Linked DNA regions of Nothobranchius furzeri. The protein of the gene in region 4 interacts with the protein of the main gene of each other region in a biochemical or structural test. Links are inferred from orthologs where the notes say so. Each region holds a gene or a part of one and is shown on either strand. Other genes may lie near its edges.

The links. The genes of interacting proteins can lie anywhere in the genome.
Region 1: the proteins of hif1aa (region 4) and epoa form a complex in vitro, tested with the Homo sapiens proteins (2 studies listed by BioGRID). The link is inferred for Nothobranchius furzeri from reciprocal best matches to the Homo sapiens genes HIF1A and EPO.
Region 2: the proteins of hif1aa (region 4) and mta1 form a complex in vitro, tested with the Homo sapiens proteins (2 studies listed by BioGRID). The link is inferred for Nothobranchius furzeri from reciprocal best matches to the Homo sapiens genes HIF1A and MTA1.
Region 3: the proteins of hif1aa (region 4) and rack1 form a complex in vitro, tested with the Homo sapiens proteins (2 studies listed by BioGRID). The link is inferred for Nothobranchius furzeri from reciprocal best matches to the Homo sapiens genes HIF1A and RACK1.

The regions. Positions count from the first base shown.
Region 1 is NC_091742.1:83,888,565-83,892,615, reverse strand, and holds the start of epoa (erythropoietin), read left to right. Parts: upstream 1-1,251; 5' UTR 1,252-1,519; coding exon 1,520-1,541; intron 1,542-4,051. UniProt on the Homo sapiens protein: Hormone involved in the regulation of erythrocyte proliferation and differentiation and the maintenance of a physiological level of circulating erythrocyte mass.
Region 2 is NC_091758.1:21,770,813-21,775,061, forward strand, and holds the start of mta1 (metastasis-associated protein MTA1), read right to left. Parts: upstream 2,801-4,249; 5' UTR 2,689-2,800; coding exon 2,661-2,688; intron 1-2,660. UniProt on the Homo sapiens protein: Transcriptional coregulator which can act as both a transcriptional corepressor and coactivator. Acts as a component of the histone deacetylase NuRD complex which participates in the remodeling of chromatin.
Region 3 is NC_091741.1:97,232,498-97,236,596, forward strand, and holds the start of rack1 (small ribosomal subunit protein RACK1), read right to left. Parts: upstream 2,801-4,099; 5' UTR 2,689-2,800; coding exon 2,580-2,688; intron 2,117-2,579; coding exon 1,945-2,116; intron 744-1,944; coding exon 596-743; intron 308-595; coding exon 212-307; intron 53-211; coding exon 1-52. UniProt on the Homo sapiens protein: Scaffolding protein involved in the recruitment, assembly and/or regulation of a variety of signaling molecules. Interacts with a wide variety of proteins and plays a role in many cellular processes.
Region 4 is NC_091758.1:31,049,409-31,053,993, forward strand, and holds part of hif1aa (hypoxia inducible factor 1 subunit alpha a), read right to left. Parts: intron 2,295-4,585; coding exon 2,104-2,294; intron 1,817-2,103; coding exon 1,665-1,816; intron 1,541-1,664; coding exon 1,456-1,540; intron 926-1,455; coding exon 816-925; intron 692-815; coding exon 504-691; intron 431-503; coding exon 324-430; intron 235-323; coding exon 87-234; intron 6-86; coding exon 1-5.

The DNA of each region.
Region 1 (4,051 bases), on a different chromosome or scaffold from region 4:
CATGAACAATAGAATTGGCTTTAAAGACACCAGCTAAGAAGGACCCGTGGACTTCATGGACCAAGGAAACACGGATAGGCCTGCGTCAGAGCCTTTTTGGATCTGAGTATCATCGGTAAGTTAATGAGTTGCTTTACACTATATTCAGTCAAATGTGGAGTTAGGTTTCCATTGCTGTTCTGCTGACACTGAGCTGTGACTGAGCTTTGTTCTTGGGAAACCAGGCCAGTTTTAATCAACGAGTGAGTAAAGTCATAACATTTAACTCCAAACATGATTATTCTTGAGCTTTTCAGCAAAATGAACGTCCCAAGGAATTTTCGTTGAATAATAGCTGCTTTTTATTCCTGTGGTCTTCACTGAGCATCCTCTTCTTTGGATCTAAGTGTGACTGATCTTTTCAGAGGACAGCAGCTGCCTGGAAGCCACTGAACAACAATGAGCTGGAAGATGAGGACACTCGCAAAGGTGACCAGAGAGGTAGGCTATTTTTAAATGAGTGAAAACTTGATTTGTAGCTGACTGGAAACATCTTTATGATCAGGTAATAACTAAACTTAGCCATGTGGAAGGGGAGGGGTCTAAGTTTTCAATAATTTGCTTTGGTGAGACTGAGTTTTAAGCATTTCAGGACATGTGTCACTATATGATCTGATTAACAGGACAGGTACATGATGATTCTCTCATTCTGCTCATTGATCAGAACAGATTCTGTAACATGGGGCTCAGTGCCAGTCCCTGCCCTCTCTGATTTATGAATGAATCATACGTTTGCACATCTGATGGATGGTTTTCTGTTATTTCTCAAAATCGTGATAGAAAATAAACCCAATTCCCCCTCAGACGATGATGTTGAATGACGTTGCTTTAAGCCCCTTTTGAGGGAGGAGGGCGACTTCATTTAGTTTTGATCTGAAGGTTGATAAACAAATGATTTGGACAACAATAAAAGACAAGATGTTGCCCTAAGGGAGGAGTTATCATTGTCAAGGAGACAATGCAACCTTATTTTTAAAGTCATTATTAAACAAATAAAACTGCGGGAGTTTGTAGAAACACCTACCGGATAAGTGCACATGCGATCCACAAAAGAGCTGGTTTCTAATTAATGGGGAATAGACGGACCTGTTGGCCGGACGGCGCGGACCCTGACAGGGGGCTATGCGGACTCCGCTATGGACCGACCCCGTGAGTTCTGACATGCCTTCGCTGGTTTTCCCCTCTACTCTGCCTTTTGCTAGTTAGTCTATTTTCATGCTTTACGCGGTGGGGGTGCAGCGTCACGGGTTGATGTTTAATCGCGCAGAGAGGCGCGTGCTCGCTCGCGTTATCACCGTCCGGCTCCTCAGGGAGGTAAATAAAAGCTTTTCCCTGCACGCAGCAGTGATGAAAGTCCGGTAGGTGAGCTGAGCGCTCTCTCGTCCTGTTTGGATACCGGTCTGCTGTCCCGAACCGAACCGACGCTCCGTTTGTTCAGTTTTACCACGATGTTTGAAAAAGATGCTGATCTTTTTTGCGAATGTTGCGGAAAACTTGTAAAGGTAAGAGCGCAGATTTGCAGGTGTGAGCCACGTGCAGCAGAGCTCAGATTACCATGCTGGATATGAATGAACGCACGTATACTTTAGGGAGATGTGTATTAATGCAGATTGTTGGTCTCCTGAACGAGAACACTTGCACCAAAAGTCAGGTGATTGTTTACCGAGGTTAAATGCACGTGACCTCCAACTTTTATCTCTAAAAATAGATGTGAGTAGTAAATAATATACCTGAAACATTTTGCACAAAGAGGCGAGTCAAGAGAAGAAAAGCTTGAAATAGTTTCACAACACTGTTAAGATGGTTTTTAATATGCTGTTTTTGTACAAGAAATAGGACCAGATTTCCTCTTTGTATCAAAGTCTTCAGGATTGATCTTCTAAAACGTGAGAATGACTTTTGATAAATGAAGGAAACTGTTATGGGGTGGATCAGTCCGAGGAGATTCAACTGTAGTAACTATATACATTCAGATATACCCGTTCAATAATCTTATGTTGAAATAAATTGACTGCTAGTTGTAATGGCAGCAGAAGTGTGCATGGCAGGTCTCCCACGTGGAGTTGGCATTAGCATAAATTTTAGGCCTGAAAGGTTGTTTTAAATGCCTGTTGTGTGATTTTTTTTCTTTCCTTTTTTAAAAGTCGTCAAACTTGAGTTGGCAATGTTTCGCAGTAAAGATACTACGGTTTGAACTTTATTTCTCCTTCCATTCGTCATTCTTAATAATGCCAAGAGTTCAAAGGGATGAGGAATAGAATGGGGCAGCGAATGAAACTAAATCAGCTGGACTGTTTTCTGGGTCACCGTGCATCCAGTCATCCATTTTTCCATCGTCTTTACCTGCTTGATGTGGTAAAAGGTCACAGGGAGCTAATTCTTGTCTTCAGTATCAATTGGCGAACTCCTTGACCGGTCACCAGTCAATCACATGTCCAACTAATTAATTCATGGGAAAAAGTGAAATATTTCAGGTCAGTATAGCTTTCAAAACTTGGACTCTTTATGAATTTCACTCAAATTCTCCATGAAAGCTACAATGTCAGATATGCTAAACAAGCTAACTTAAACATTTTTTTCATGCATATTGACATTTTAACATTGTATAGCTATAAATATTTTGTGCAGTTGGAAATAATGAGGTGTTCTCTTGCATTTGTCTAAATACCTCTGCCAATAACACAACACGGCCTGAAAGCAACTATTGGACCACTCATTACACATTTGCATATTTTGCAACAGAACACCACTGGTATGAGAGGTACTCCACTCAATATCAGAGAAGGAAAAACAGCTTTAGAACACACTACCAGAGTCCCAAACAGAAAAACATCATTTGAAATCATGTTCAACAAAAGGCTTTTGGACCTAGAAAATGGCGACTGGTGTTTAGCACTCTCTCGGTTATTCTAAACGATTTCATAAGACACACCACGCCATCAAATCAAAGTAATACTGCCGCCACAGTGGGCCTTATGAAAGCGCTATGGCATCATGACGAAGCATGAACTTTGTTGCCACCAAGCTTGGTTGTAATATTACATTAACTCTGGACGTGTGAATGAAGATTTTGAAGATTAGCCATGGTGCAACAGAGGGTGGTGTCATGATCACGTGTGGAATGTCCGCAGAGCTGCTGCCGGCAACTATATTGAAAAGGAAATTACACATGGGCAGTCAATTTTACTTTTGTTAATAGAATCAGCTGAGACGGTAAACTGGAGCAGTGCAGAGCACCTGGAGCTTTTCTCCATTACAGCTGGAGCTCAGATCACCAAACAGTTCACAGGGTGGAGGATAGATTCCTTTAGAAGCGGCTTGTCAAAAAAAAAACTTAAGCAGCCGAAAATTGATGAATTCTGATCTTATCAGGGGTTGGGTCGCGGGGGCAGTAGCCTAAAGGTTGGTTTATGCTTGACGCGTCCGCGAGGTCCACACGGCTCTGCTCGGAAAAGTTGCGTCATTTTGCATCATCTTAACAACCACGCCCCTCCACCGCACCACCGCACGGCCCAAAATTTCCGCAACACGCACCTAGGAAATTTTCTAACCACGCGGACGGTCGGACACGGAAAAACATGGCGGACCGGCAAGAACTACTGTAGTATGGCAGAGGTTCGTAAATACAGACATTTGTATGATTCAGCTCTCAGAGATCACCGTGATCAACATGTTGTTAATAATTCTTGGAGAGAAAAAGCTCGCACTGACGGAAAAGACGAGGACGCTGTTAAAAATGCTGGAATGCCATGTTGTAAACAGTAATTTCTACTTCTACTATGGTGTAGTGTTGGATGCATGCTGTAGAGCTCCATGCTGCCCCCTACAGTTTGGGAGAATATTGGCTCACCGCAGAGACAAGCCGCACGAACCATAAACGCTGCGAGTTGTGAAGCGCGTTCCAGCCGCGAGCCGCATCACCAAGTGGAAAGTGAATGCGTCAAGCATAAACCAAGCTTAAGCAGGAGGCTCAGACTTCCCTCTCCCCATCCACTTGGACCAGCTCCTCTGG
Region 2 (4,249 bases), about 9.3 Mb from region 4:
CGCAGTTTTCCGACCCCGTTTTGTGCGTAAGCAAGCCTGATAAATGAGGCCCCAGAACTTAGAGATGTGGTGGAATGGGAGATTCATCGTGTATGTTGCTATGTGATGCAGTCATGTTAATTTGGACCAACATGGACTCTGAGAAATGCATCTATAATCTTGTAGAATTCATTTCTGAAGGCATCTGCCTCCAGTAAGCTGTACCTAATAAAGTGACCAGTGGGTGGATGCATTTTAGGGGAACATTTTGCTGATTGGCTTGTTGCAGTTCTGAAAAATACCAACTAGCAGAGTCACCACAGCTTCCAGTAGAAACAGGGGCTTAATAATGGACTCCTGCTCCACAAATGCTGGGAACGAGAGATTAGAGCTAATTCTGTAATCTTGCACGAAAAGGCTTTTAAGACACTAATTTCAGGTTTTGGCACTTAATATTCTCACAGTTAATTTCTCAACATGTAGACACAAATAATTTAAATACATTTTACAACAAAAAGGACAGAATCAAAAAGGAAATCTACTTTTACTCTGATCAAGAAAAACAGACATTTTACATGTTAGCTGCTGTTTATCAGATGTGATGCTGCACCGCCTCTCAAAACTCTGGGTGTTTTTTCTCATAACGACGTTATTCAAGCAGATCAGAATCGGATGCAGGAAATAAAAGAATATTTTAAAATGAAATGCGTTTTAAGAACAGGTGCAGATTTTCTGTTGCAGCTCGAGTGGTTTGCACGGAGTTGAAGATAGCGGTTTTACATTAAACCTCAGGGAAAAAAGTTTGGACAGGGCTGCAGTTGATGGAATAAAATATGATTTGTGAGATTTCCCAAAACGTCACAGAAAACCTACTGCTGCAGCTGCGTGTGTGTGTGTGTGTGTGTGTGTGTGTGTGTGTGTGTGTGTGTGTGTGTGTGTGTGTGTGTGTATTTTACCTCAGCTGTTATGTAGATTAAACAAACCCTATTCTTAAGCTTGACACAACTTCTGTATAACAAACAATTATTAAGCATGGTCCTTTATTAGCCAATCACATTCATTTCAGGATGCATGCCCACTGACTAAATCCCTCCAATAAAAATTCTGGATTTCTACAATTTATAATAATAAAATCAAACCACCACGTACAGTTCCTCTTCCCATTTACTCAGCAATTTACTGAACTAGGTCTGAACTTGGTGGTCTGACACACTTCTTCAACATATTTTTTGGATGGGGACACAAGGAAAAAGGTGATACAGGCAGCAGATGAGTGGTTTGTGGCCAGCACAGTTAAAAAAATAAAAATAAAAAGACATCAAAGCCCAAGGATGCTTCTTATTATCTTGTAAAATTGCAGCCATCTCTTCAAGGGCAGCTCTTTGTTGTGATGCTGCTCTGAAAGGATCCTTGTTATCAGGCCTCATTTCTGGCCTTTTTTTAATCTAGATTATTACAACAGAAGAAAAATAATCCCAAAGTGTGTTTACTCAGCAATTAATAAGAGTTCATTGTTGTGGTTTCAGTTCAGTTTGGCCAAATTCAATTATTACTAGGTTTACTAGACAGACTCAACAATATTTTACTAAAATAACAACTTAAGACGTAAATGTGAGTGGTTTAGTGCCATTTGATATATATCACTTGCTGGAGTAAAGTGAAGTAACATGTGTTCCAAAATGTGCATTTTCAGCTAATAAACAAACAGCAAAGGAAAATAATCTTTGCACAACTGGTTTGAAAAACCTAGCGCATCAATAAAACTGAGTGGCATGAAGAAACTGAACAAAGTGACATTTGGTGACTGAATTGTTAACTTTCTACCCCTCTCTGGACTAATCCTGTTCTCACGCAGGTAGGCCTCCTTTAATTTGATATATGACGTTCACTTTGGGCTATTTCTGATGCTGTATCCGAGCCAAGTACAGTCACAGCATCCCTGAATTACAGAACAGTTGTCAGAGTAAATATGTGGTAATGTACAACAACACAGAAACGCTCACTATACAACATCATTCCAAACAGGAGTGGACACTAATCTGGGCACTAAAGTATGTGGAAAATAAATAAATAAAAACAAAAAGATCACGATTGGACACTGCCACGTGACTATCTTACACCTGTCTTACCTGAGTGGGACTCAAGAATCTTCATTAGGTATTAAGAGACTCCCTGGATGTGCAAAAAGCTTAATCTGGAATATTTTGTTGGTCATTTCTACATTTAAAGTGTTAAAACTAAATGTAGTGTAAAGTTTTTGTCCCGGCTGCCTCCTTGCATTGATGCCTATGCGGTTCCAGTAAAGTACTCACGATGTTCCTTACAGGAGGCAGCAGAAAGAACAATAGTTAGGTGAAACTTTCAGAAAACCCGTGACATGTTATTTAAAATAAACTAAACCGTCATGGAGGGTTCAGGTGTGCCAGAACACCGAGATGGCTCTCTGGGTTCATTAAGGGGGAAAACAGCAAAAGAAGCAAATGTTTAAGAGAACCGCTCGCTGCTCTTCATCACCATCCTCCTCCTCCTCACCATCATCTGCGAGAAGCACAAAGCTCTCCCAGCTTACGGAAATGTTTTTAAAAGACGAGCCACGCTCATAACGAGCTTCCGTGGGTAATGGCGAGTCCGCCGAGTAAAAACGCCACACGGCTCCGAAACGCAAACGCCCCAAAGCTTACCTCCAACCCGGTACATGTTGGCTGCCATGACTGCCCCCGGTCCCGGGCTTCCTCTCCAGGTAGAGGGGTGGCTCTCTGCTCTCTCCCGCTGCCGGAGCTGTGTGTTGGAAAATGGTGGATTGATCAATACGAAACAGACTGCCCGAGAGACCTTAAAGAGACAGTACACCTTTTCAGGAAACCCAACTTATCGGCACGGATAACAAAGGGCGCGTTAATCTCACTACTTATTACCTTTATAACATCGTCAGTGGCTAACTACGCCATTATTTCTTAATATATATCTCAATATGCGTCACAGTCACCGCAGTAGCCCACCGCCTTTCGGTTTAGTCGTGTTTTTGTTAATAGTTAAAGTAGTTATCTGGTAGTTAGAATAGTTATTAAGATAAAGTAAACTCGCCTGTTTTTGTAACTTTGTCCCAATTTTTTGTTCTCCCTCATCAACTGAAATATCGCGAGATTTGAGAGTAAACCCCTTTACGTGACCTCTGGGTCACGCTTGACGTTAGAAGGGGTGTAATTAATAATTATTTTATCGTCTACACTGCTGTGCTCAGTGAAATCAACAATTTAATTATTTTGCTATAAAAATGCAAACTGAATGCAATATATTTTAAATAAGCCCCAAAACTCAAGGAGTTGACCCACTAATTTCCCTTCCCTGGGACAAATAAAGCTTTTCATTCATTTCATTCGTCATTCACTATGTTTATGAACTGTACAAGGAGTTCATGGGGATTGTATATAGAAATGTATCATGGGTTTATTCGCTCATTTAATTCATTTCCAAATATGTGTATTATTTTAAAAGAAGCAGTTTAACTCTCATCTTATTCTGAAGGTGTTTACCGGCCTTAACAACACTAGCAGAACAATCTGTACAGATCATTTTATTAGCAAAAATTTACACGTACAAGTGAATTGTATCAGTGACTGAACCAAAATAAGGACACATACTGCTGTTGCCTAGACGTCAATGCGCAAAATAAAGTACACAGTGTTCTATCGAGGCAAAAACATGCCAAGTGACTCATGGAATGATAATTTGGAACATGCAAGGTTTTAACATTATAAAAAATATCCAGGGATTTCCATGACTCAATAGTTAAATGTTTGCGTTTATGTTGTCTTTTGTTGAAATGGTAAAGGAGAAATGTACTGTAGCATAATCCACCATACAAAATAAATTATACATTTGCTCTGCTTTTGTTATTTTCCCAACACAAACACATACTCTTCTTGGATCCTTGCAGCATGTTGCTACTTATGTATAAATAATACATAAATTGCCTCAAACACCCTGCAAGAGAAATTCTTCTGCTGTCAGAGAAATCATTAGCAAGTGTTAAATATGAGTGACACTCTGTGATGAGAGAATGCAGCATGGTTTTTCCACAGCTTTGTTTTTAAATCTGGATGTGAGTGTAGAGCCTCAGTGCAGGAGGAATGCTGTGGTGAACGCTACATATGATCTATACCATATGGAAGCTTCAATTACTGTGGCCTAACACAAGGGACTACAGTCTGCAGTCACATGACTGTTGCGGGCCAATCGTGTGTAGTTGCAGTGTGCACTCGTTAAGTGT
Region 3 (4,099 bases), on a different chromosome or scaffold from region 4:
CAGTGTGACCAATGTGGTTGGTCTTCAGCTTGCAGTTGGCCAGGTTCCACACCTGAGAGGCATCACACCCGAGACAGAACAAACATCAACATCCAACATGGAAGCTAATCATAAAAAAGGTTGTCTTACGCAAGTAGTCAGCTAATAAATGCAAACTAAGTTAAACCATCTAACCAGGACCAAACATTAGCAAATTACTAGTAAACCATACCTTGACCACCTTGTCCCAGCCACAGGAGACAATGATGGGGTTGCTGCTGTTGGGGGAGAAGCGAACACAAGACACCCACTCAGAATGGCCTTCATCCTGCAAAATCAAGTTTGAACAGTTTAAAGTTCAGCTCATCCCAACAATGGCTCACTTTAGCTCATGTAACCACCGAGACTTATTCCATGATCCTGACACACTACACACTTAAAACCATCATACAGATTTAGTCCACAATGCTCCAGCTGATGGCTGAGCTGTGTGCTCTACCTCAGAAAATGTAAAACTAGTTAAAAAAAAAAAAAAAAGCTTGAACAAAAACTAAATGAAAACCAAAGAAGGAACAGCTCTAAGCAGCAGCAGCAGCAGCATTAAGTGACAGCTCACCTGAATGGTGTACTTGCAGACTCCAAGAGTGTTCCACAGCTTGATGGTCTTGTCTCGGGAGCCAGATACAATCTGACGGTTATCAGCAGAGAAAGCCACACTCAAAACATCCTTTGTGTGTCCAACAAACTGACGGGTGGTGGTGCCACTAGAAAAACACAAGATTAAGACGTCCGATTAGAATAAAGCTATATTAAGTTTACAGTTTAAAATGCCTGCCCTCCTCTACTAATTATGGCCTCTACAAGCTACAGTCATTTAAGGAGTTAAAACAGTTTTTTTCCCCACTTGTATTCAAACAAATCACTTTAGTACACAAACCTTAATGCCGATCAATGACAATTTTTTTTAGGTTCAGTTTATATCGGGTTCCAGCACTTTAGCCAGAATCAAATTCCAGCTCCTCACTTAGATGATTAAAACTGTTCAAACATGGACTGTAGTTTTATTCCTGTATAAACCCCAAACCCATTTATTTAGATCTACTGTTCTCTTAAGTCACAACTAAGGAGTGTATAAAGTGATGAAGGTGTAGTAAGGACAATAACACTGTGGAACAACAGTGTCGGGTACAAGAAACTGGGAGAATTTATTTTATAGGATCTCTGACAAACATTGTAATTGTATATAACTGCATTTTTAAATGTCTGCTGTTTATTATTTAGTGCGAGATTACTGAAGTTCTATCTGTGGTACAAAACACTAGTATAAAAAGCTGTTGCACGGTCATGTACACGCAAATGAAGTTTGTTCACCAAGATTGGGTTTACACATGGTGTAGCTTAACTAGATGTCATTTCCCAACTGTTTTATGGCTTAAGTTATGTTCCCTGGCAACTTGGTATTTAGAGGTCATAAGTGCTGAAATGTTTGTAGCTCTAGTAACAAATACGCATTAGCGCGGACTGTGTGTTAACATCGGTTCAAACACATTTTCATTTATAGAACAAAGGTGACAAATCATATCTTTAAAACTATCCAGGATGTTTGTTACAACTTAAATTTAGAAAGGACATACTTCCAGCTAATACAAACATGCAAGTCTTTACCAACTTACTTATTTCTAAAAAGAAAAGCATTAACTAGTTTAAACTGTGTTCCACATAGATGCTTAGATGATGCAGATCAAGGGTCAGCAACTTTTTTCCTTGAGGGGTACCATCCTGCAAGTTCCACACGTTTCCTGCTCTAAAGGACCCAGATTAACTGATTTCATCACAACCTTCCTAAGTTGACTTCTCTAGATGCTCTCACACATTTAAATATGTTGGGAGCAGGTAAACGGGTAAAGAGATATATTTACAGGACAGCGGATCTGATGTAGAAGCTTTCTTCCTAGCTGTACTTACGTGGTGAGGTCCCACAGTCGGAGGGAGCCGTCCCAGGCGCCTGAGAGAGCAAACTGTCCATCCGAGGAGATGACAACATCACTTACAAAGTGAGAGTGGCCCCTCAGAGAGCGCTGAGGGATCCCATAGTTGGTCTCGTCACGAGTCAGCTTCCACATGATGATGGACTTGTCTGAAAGTTTAACACATAAGGTTCAGGACTCAGGAGTATTGCCTAAAGCAAAGAGCAGGTAGGTAGCATTAGCATGCGAAGCTAGCACTTAAGTTAATATCAAGTTAATATCACATTGCAGCGCTTGGTTCAAGGCCTTATAACCTCATGTCAAGTAGTCTGATGTTTAACTGGATGAATCAGTGTCGGTGCTATGTTGGTGTAAACCCAGGAGTGAAACACAGTAGATCCAGCTAATGACGCTAGAAAGCACAAGTTTAACTACACCAGGTTTCCTCCACTTCTGAAGTCGCAAATGTTCACTATAAGCGATTAATGAGCCTTTAGGCTGTTGTAATCACATTTCAGCGGTCTTCTGCCACTTCCGCAAAAATCGTATTTTTGTAACATTACCAAAGAGTCACTGCTAGCTTACAAAGCTAGCTGTAGCCATGTTGGCGGCTGCCGGCGGGGGAAGCCTCACCTCGGGACGCCGACAGAATCATGTCGGGATACTGAGGGGTAGTGGCGATCTGGGTGACCCATCCACTGTGGCCCTTCAGGGTCCCCCTCACTGTCATCTGCTCGGTCATTTTGACGAGGTTCGGTGGTGCCTTTTACAAGGATGGATTCGGATATTTCTCAGGTTCGTAAAAACCTAGGTCCTCATCGCATCTAGGCACGGAGGAAAAGGAAGTACAGACCCGGATGCAAAAACTAAGAGGGGTGAAGGGCTCGCAGAGCATTCTGGGATATGTTTTTTTCCCCAAGTCATCCAAGTGTGCTACAAGAAAAGACTGAAGGGGACTGTTTAGAAACATGATAAAACATTTCACTTACAACACATCACCATTATATATAAGTAATACACACTGATTTGGTTATTGGTAACAGCTGTGCACATCCCTGATATGTTTCTGTCTGAATGAATAAAGGAAATTAAGCTCTTACGAAACATAGCACCAGTAAAATAAAATGTCTGTGATGGACACAAATTTTCTGATTTTAGAATATTCTATATTTTACAAACGTCCGTATTTTTTATACTTTATGTTACACACACACACACACACACACACACACACACACACACACACACACACACACACACACACACACACACACACACACACACACGAGCTTTAATCCCATAATATTTGTTTCTTTTCATGTGAAAGGCGGCTTTAAAGTTGACGCCTTGATATATTTTATACCAGGGATGTCCAAACTTTCCTAGATAAGAGCCAAAATCAGCAAGTTAACTGTCCTTGTAGGCCACAACATATACATTTTTTAAATGCTAAAAATATTTATTCTTGCATTTGTACTCCCTAAAATTTGTCAAAATGGACTATTAAGTTTGAACATACAATGTTGGGGGGGGGGGGGGGGGGGACGACAGTGACATAAATTGCTCCAAGGGCGACAAATGAGGGCCACATACATGCCTGCTCTATACTTGTGTACTGATTAACAAACAATCTTTAAAATTTGAATTTTCATTTCATTTCACTTTATTTGTAAAGTCTCTTGTATTTATTTATTTATTTATTTATTGGTTCTTTTTTAAACACAGAGAAGAAAACTTTTCTTTCCTGTGTTTAAAAGAGAACCAAAAAAAAAATACAAGTTAAAAAGACCCAGAATGAATGCACAGAAGATTGTAATGTCCCTTCCACAATCTCATCAAACACCCAAGGTGCTGGACAATACAGCAGGCAACAAGTACAAATAAGACAATATAAAACAACCATAAAAACATATAACCTAATAAAAAAAGGCCAATTACAGACAAGACAATGATGCCACGCTACAAAATAATTAATGTTTTATCTCACATGTTGAACAACATTTGGAATCCTTCAATTTCCAGGCTTTCTACTGGTATGTTTTATGAATAATCTGATATTTCTATATGTAAACTACTGCACAGCTACACTATTTCAACACTGTTACATTAGGCTGAAGTGAGAATATTGGTAACAGTGTTGTGTGCTTAGAAAA
Region 4 (4,585 bases):
TCCCACTGTTGGACAACCACAAGATGTCAGTATGCTACTTTCTGATCCGATATCTCCACATGACATGACGATACTAGTGCAAGTACCTGAGGACAAAGTTGACACAGACGACACACTGTGGCTGTGAGTTCTTGTTGTTGTAGATAACGGTGGCCTGCGTTTCCACCCAGACAAAGCCTCCTCTTTTGGCCAACATCCGGTACTGACCTGTGGTGACCTGGCCCTTCGCAAACACTGCAAACAGCAGAAAACACGGTCAAAAGTCACGAAATAAACAGCGACGTTTTCCAATTTTACTCTAGATCTATGCTCTTTGTGCTTACAGTGGTGGTGAGTCTTTGTGAGGTGGTCAGAGTCCAGAGCGTGATAGTACTCGTACACAGAACGATTCAGCAGGTCTTCTGGATCGTATCCCATCAGCTCAGTGATCCTGGGAACAGAAACAATGTTGTAGTACCCACACTGAGCACTAGGTGTCCCCGTGGGACTCCAGATTCTCTCACCTCTCATCACAATATGTGAACTTCATGTCCATGGTGTGGCGGCTGAGGAACGTCTTGGTGTCCAGAGGGACCTCGATGTTGGAAGGGTGGGGGATGGGGTCACAGATCAGAACCAGGTAGGGGAGCAGTGGCTCCATCTGCTCTGCTCGATGGTCATGAACACACATGTGACCCGAGCAGTGAAGGACCTACAGAAACACGTTTTCAAACCAAGAGGGAAACTTTAATCTTTCTGTAATTATTATTTTTTACTTTAAGTAACTTTTTTAATTTAGGAGCCCGAGATGCTCCACAGCTTCAACACTTCTTTACCTTCCATGTAGCCGACTTGACATTAACCGTGCGACCTCTGCTTGTGAGGGTGCATTTCATCCTCAGAAAGAAATTCCGTTCATTATTTGGTTCCTTGCTTTTTTTGGAGCCTGGAATCACAAAATTAAACAGATATGAATCCAGAGTGAGGCAGAGTAAGCCAGCAGTAGATTGCTCTTTTTTATTGGTCCCAACTCAACAATCTACAAACTGCCAACTGATAAAATTTGCATCAAAAGGAGACATTTGCTCTGATGCTGTGGCCTTGTGGTGAGCTAGAGGATAAAATGGAAATAGCTACCAGCAGTTAGAGCCGAGGCGGTATCAGTGAGCAAAGAAATAACAAAAAACACAGGTCCTAAATGTAAGAGTGAACCGAAGCAGAGAGAAGATTCAGCAAAACTTATCTCACTAACGAGAAGCAAAGCAAAGATCTGTTATTGATGATTAAAAGGTCGGAAGATTACTCAGCCACTGCTCAAAACCGGAGTGGATTTTTGTGTCGTTACTAAGCAGAGCTGACCACAGAGTGAGTTGGACTTTCTACCATCTGGAGCACCAACACACCCGACAGAGAGCTCTGTGTGTGCGCGTCTCGGTTTCTCTACACATTTGTACTCTTCAGTGCAACACTGCTCACCTGTTCTACAGAGGAGCATCTCTCTCAGCTCCTCCTGGTCGCAGGGATGTGTGAAGTCAAACACACTGTGGCCAGTCAGGTCAAACTGCAAAGGCAAACAAACAGAAATATACTTTTAAAACACAAATATATAAATAGAGCTACCAAGAAGTATTCATTTAAAGCTTAAAAATGTGCACTTATTTTTTAATTCCCTGCTTCAGACCCACCTGCGCCAGCCCAAGACACTTGCTGACATTCTCCGAGAGATAAATCATATCGCCGTCTTCAGACAGCACCATGAGGAAGCCCTCCAACGCCTTCAGGTAGGACCCGTTCAGCTGAACATCAAGCTCAGTTTCCCCCTCTTCCATTGGCTTATCTGGAGCATTGAGAGAGGGAGCAAGGTGGGTGATAAGCTAAAGGACAAATAACCGGTTCAAACAGCTGCAGACACAGAAAAACCACTCCTCTAGCCCCAGGTGTTTCTGCAGAGAGATTATGGCAGAATACGCAGTACCTCCTTTGTGTTTTCCACTATAGGCTACATGTAAATGAAGTGAATTACTCTGAAGTCAACAAGATAACAAATATGACAAGCATACTGCAGGTACATGGTTAACAGAGCAGTGGAATGGTTTATAATCATCTGTCGCTACAGATGCTGACCACTGCAGAGAAGGTTCCTCATGCGCAGGTAGCTGATGGTCAGCCTCATGATGGAGGCCTTGTCCAGGCTTGAGCTGGTGCTGTGGGGGAGAGGCAGCTGCTTGGCCAGCTCATAGAACACCTCCGACTCCTTCCCACGGCGGCATCTTGCTGCATCCCTTGATTTCTCCTTCCTGCGCTCCGAGCTCACCCTGCAGGAGACAGGAGGTGGATCAGCCTCATGCTGGGTTTGTTAAACGTAAAAATCCCTTTTCCCAAAACTGAAACATGTCTGCAGAGGCCAGCGCAGCTGGAGCATTCAACAGGCTGTCTCAGCCCAGCCAGTGCAATGCAAGCGTCCTATTGGCTGCTGAACAAACGAAATAGGACTCGCCCACTCAAATGACTACACAGGAAAGAGTCAGAGCTCAGCCATCCCCCCACCCCCATCCCACACACTGATTCAGACATTTTACAGTGCCATTTCGGCTAATGTGACCACCGCTGAATCAAAGCAGGGCTATTGATTCTTCAAGTGACTGAAATCACTACACTATAAAAACTTAATGAGACAAAATTGTTAGATTCAAGGTAAGAACAAGAAGGGGTGCATCAAATGGCCGCTTTCATTCAAAAAATGGTTGTGGGTTTAATATTATTTTGAATGATGTTTGCTGTTGTCTTGATTCAGAATCAAAAACAAAAGAAAAACAGACGATATTTGGAGAAGGAAGGCCTTTTGACACAACACTGGTCTCGCTCGGCGGCCATGTTTAAAATGTTCACTTGTTCACTCTTTTTATTGCTCATTGTCAATGGCGTGTCCAGTGAGTGGTCTGGAGCAGCATTTGCCACTCTTGGAATCTGACTGGCCACCCCAATGAGTTCCACTTAAATTGACATTAAGTTGTCCACAAAAAAATAAGGGTTAACCCCTAAAACAGTAGTCGACAGTATGGACTTTTAACATTAGTTTCTAGTCACAGGCCTACAGAACATTTGTGTATTATTAATTATTGTTTTCATATTGACAAAAATAGTATTCATAGTCCTGGTCCAAACTCACTCCAGTAGATGGCGGTAATGCACCAAGAAGTGGCTTGCTAACCACCTCAAAACAAGAAGTTGAAGAATAATGCAAAAATGTATTATTTTGTGAGGGGTGACAACCCCGCAGATCAAAACAAAAAGTATAACTATAGGTGCCACCCATGCATAAATTAGTGCCCCACTGGAGCCACCCATTTTAAAAGGCCTGGACACGCCACTGCAAATTGTGCCTCCATTATGTGCTTATAAAAAAATTTTTTTAAAGTCTGTGCTGTACTTCCTGTTCCACCTTATGTTGCTCAACATTGCGGTAAATAAACATAAACAAAATCGATTTAGAAAAACCGCGATGCCTCAAAAAACAGATTTCATCTCCCATTCATATGCCATAAATTTATATCACCAATCTTTGTTGCAAACTGCACCTCAGTAAGTTGAAATACATTTAGATGACATGTGAGCAGCCAGACGACCAAATGAACAGCTTAAAAACCCACAGCTATGAAATGCACACCTGATTGAAATTGATCTGGCACGCACTTACAGCACTGAATAAGGCCCTTTTGTTTTTGCCAGAAAATAGACCAGATAATGTAATTTGCAGGAGGCTAATTTTAGTTAACAGGCAGGCTGTGTTTCACACGAAAGCTTTCCATTACACACACGTGATGCACAAACCGATCCACGATAAAGCTAATTGGTCCTCTGCGGCTGGAAGATTTTCAATGCTGAGCCGAATCACCGTCCCTCGGGAAATAGGCTAGGTGCTGATTTAATCTAGCGAAAAGCATGTGGGTCAAAATTTCTATTCGGTGACATGAACACACAAACAGAAAAACACTCAGTGTTGCTGCTATTAAGTTCCATTTACAATTGGGAAGCTACAAAGTTATGCCAACGTAAATACTTTCTTCCTTCAAAGTCAGCGTTCACATTCGGAGGGAATTATATTCCAACTCATCCCAAAAAATTATTAGCATCCCATCCATGAGACACACGGGAAAACCATTTCTGCAAAGTGACGAGTCCAGTTTTATTCGCCACACCGTTGTGAACCTCGCACTCACAATAATGACTGATAAATACTCGTCTGTAAAATAGTAGTGGCTGTTCAGTCCCTTTATGGGAGTCCTGTAACATCTGACTAAAATACAACTTCATGTAATGGAGACAAGGTTCATGTGGAAGACAAAGCCCCCCCCCCCACCCCCCCCCCCCCACACACACAGGTGGTGAATGTATTCATACTAAACAGCAGATTGTCTAAAGTAGGGGTCTGAAGCCCTTAGTACCTTCCACAATGGCTGCTAATAACAGAGGCTAAAACAATAAAACAACTAACTCATGTTTATATCTATATTAAATTATCAATTTGCAGGTTTAAACAATTTTTCATGACAAAATGTACCAGTAAAATGTTTAGATTTCAGTTTTTCACCCAAAAATTCCCATA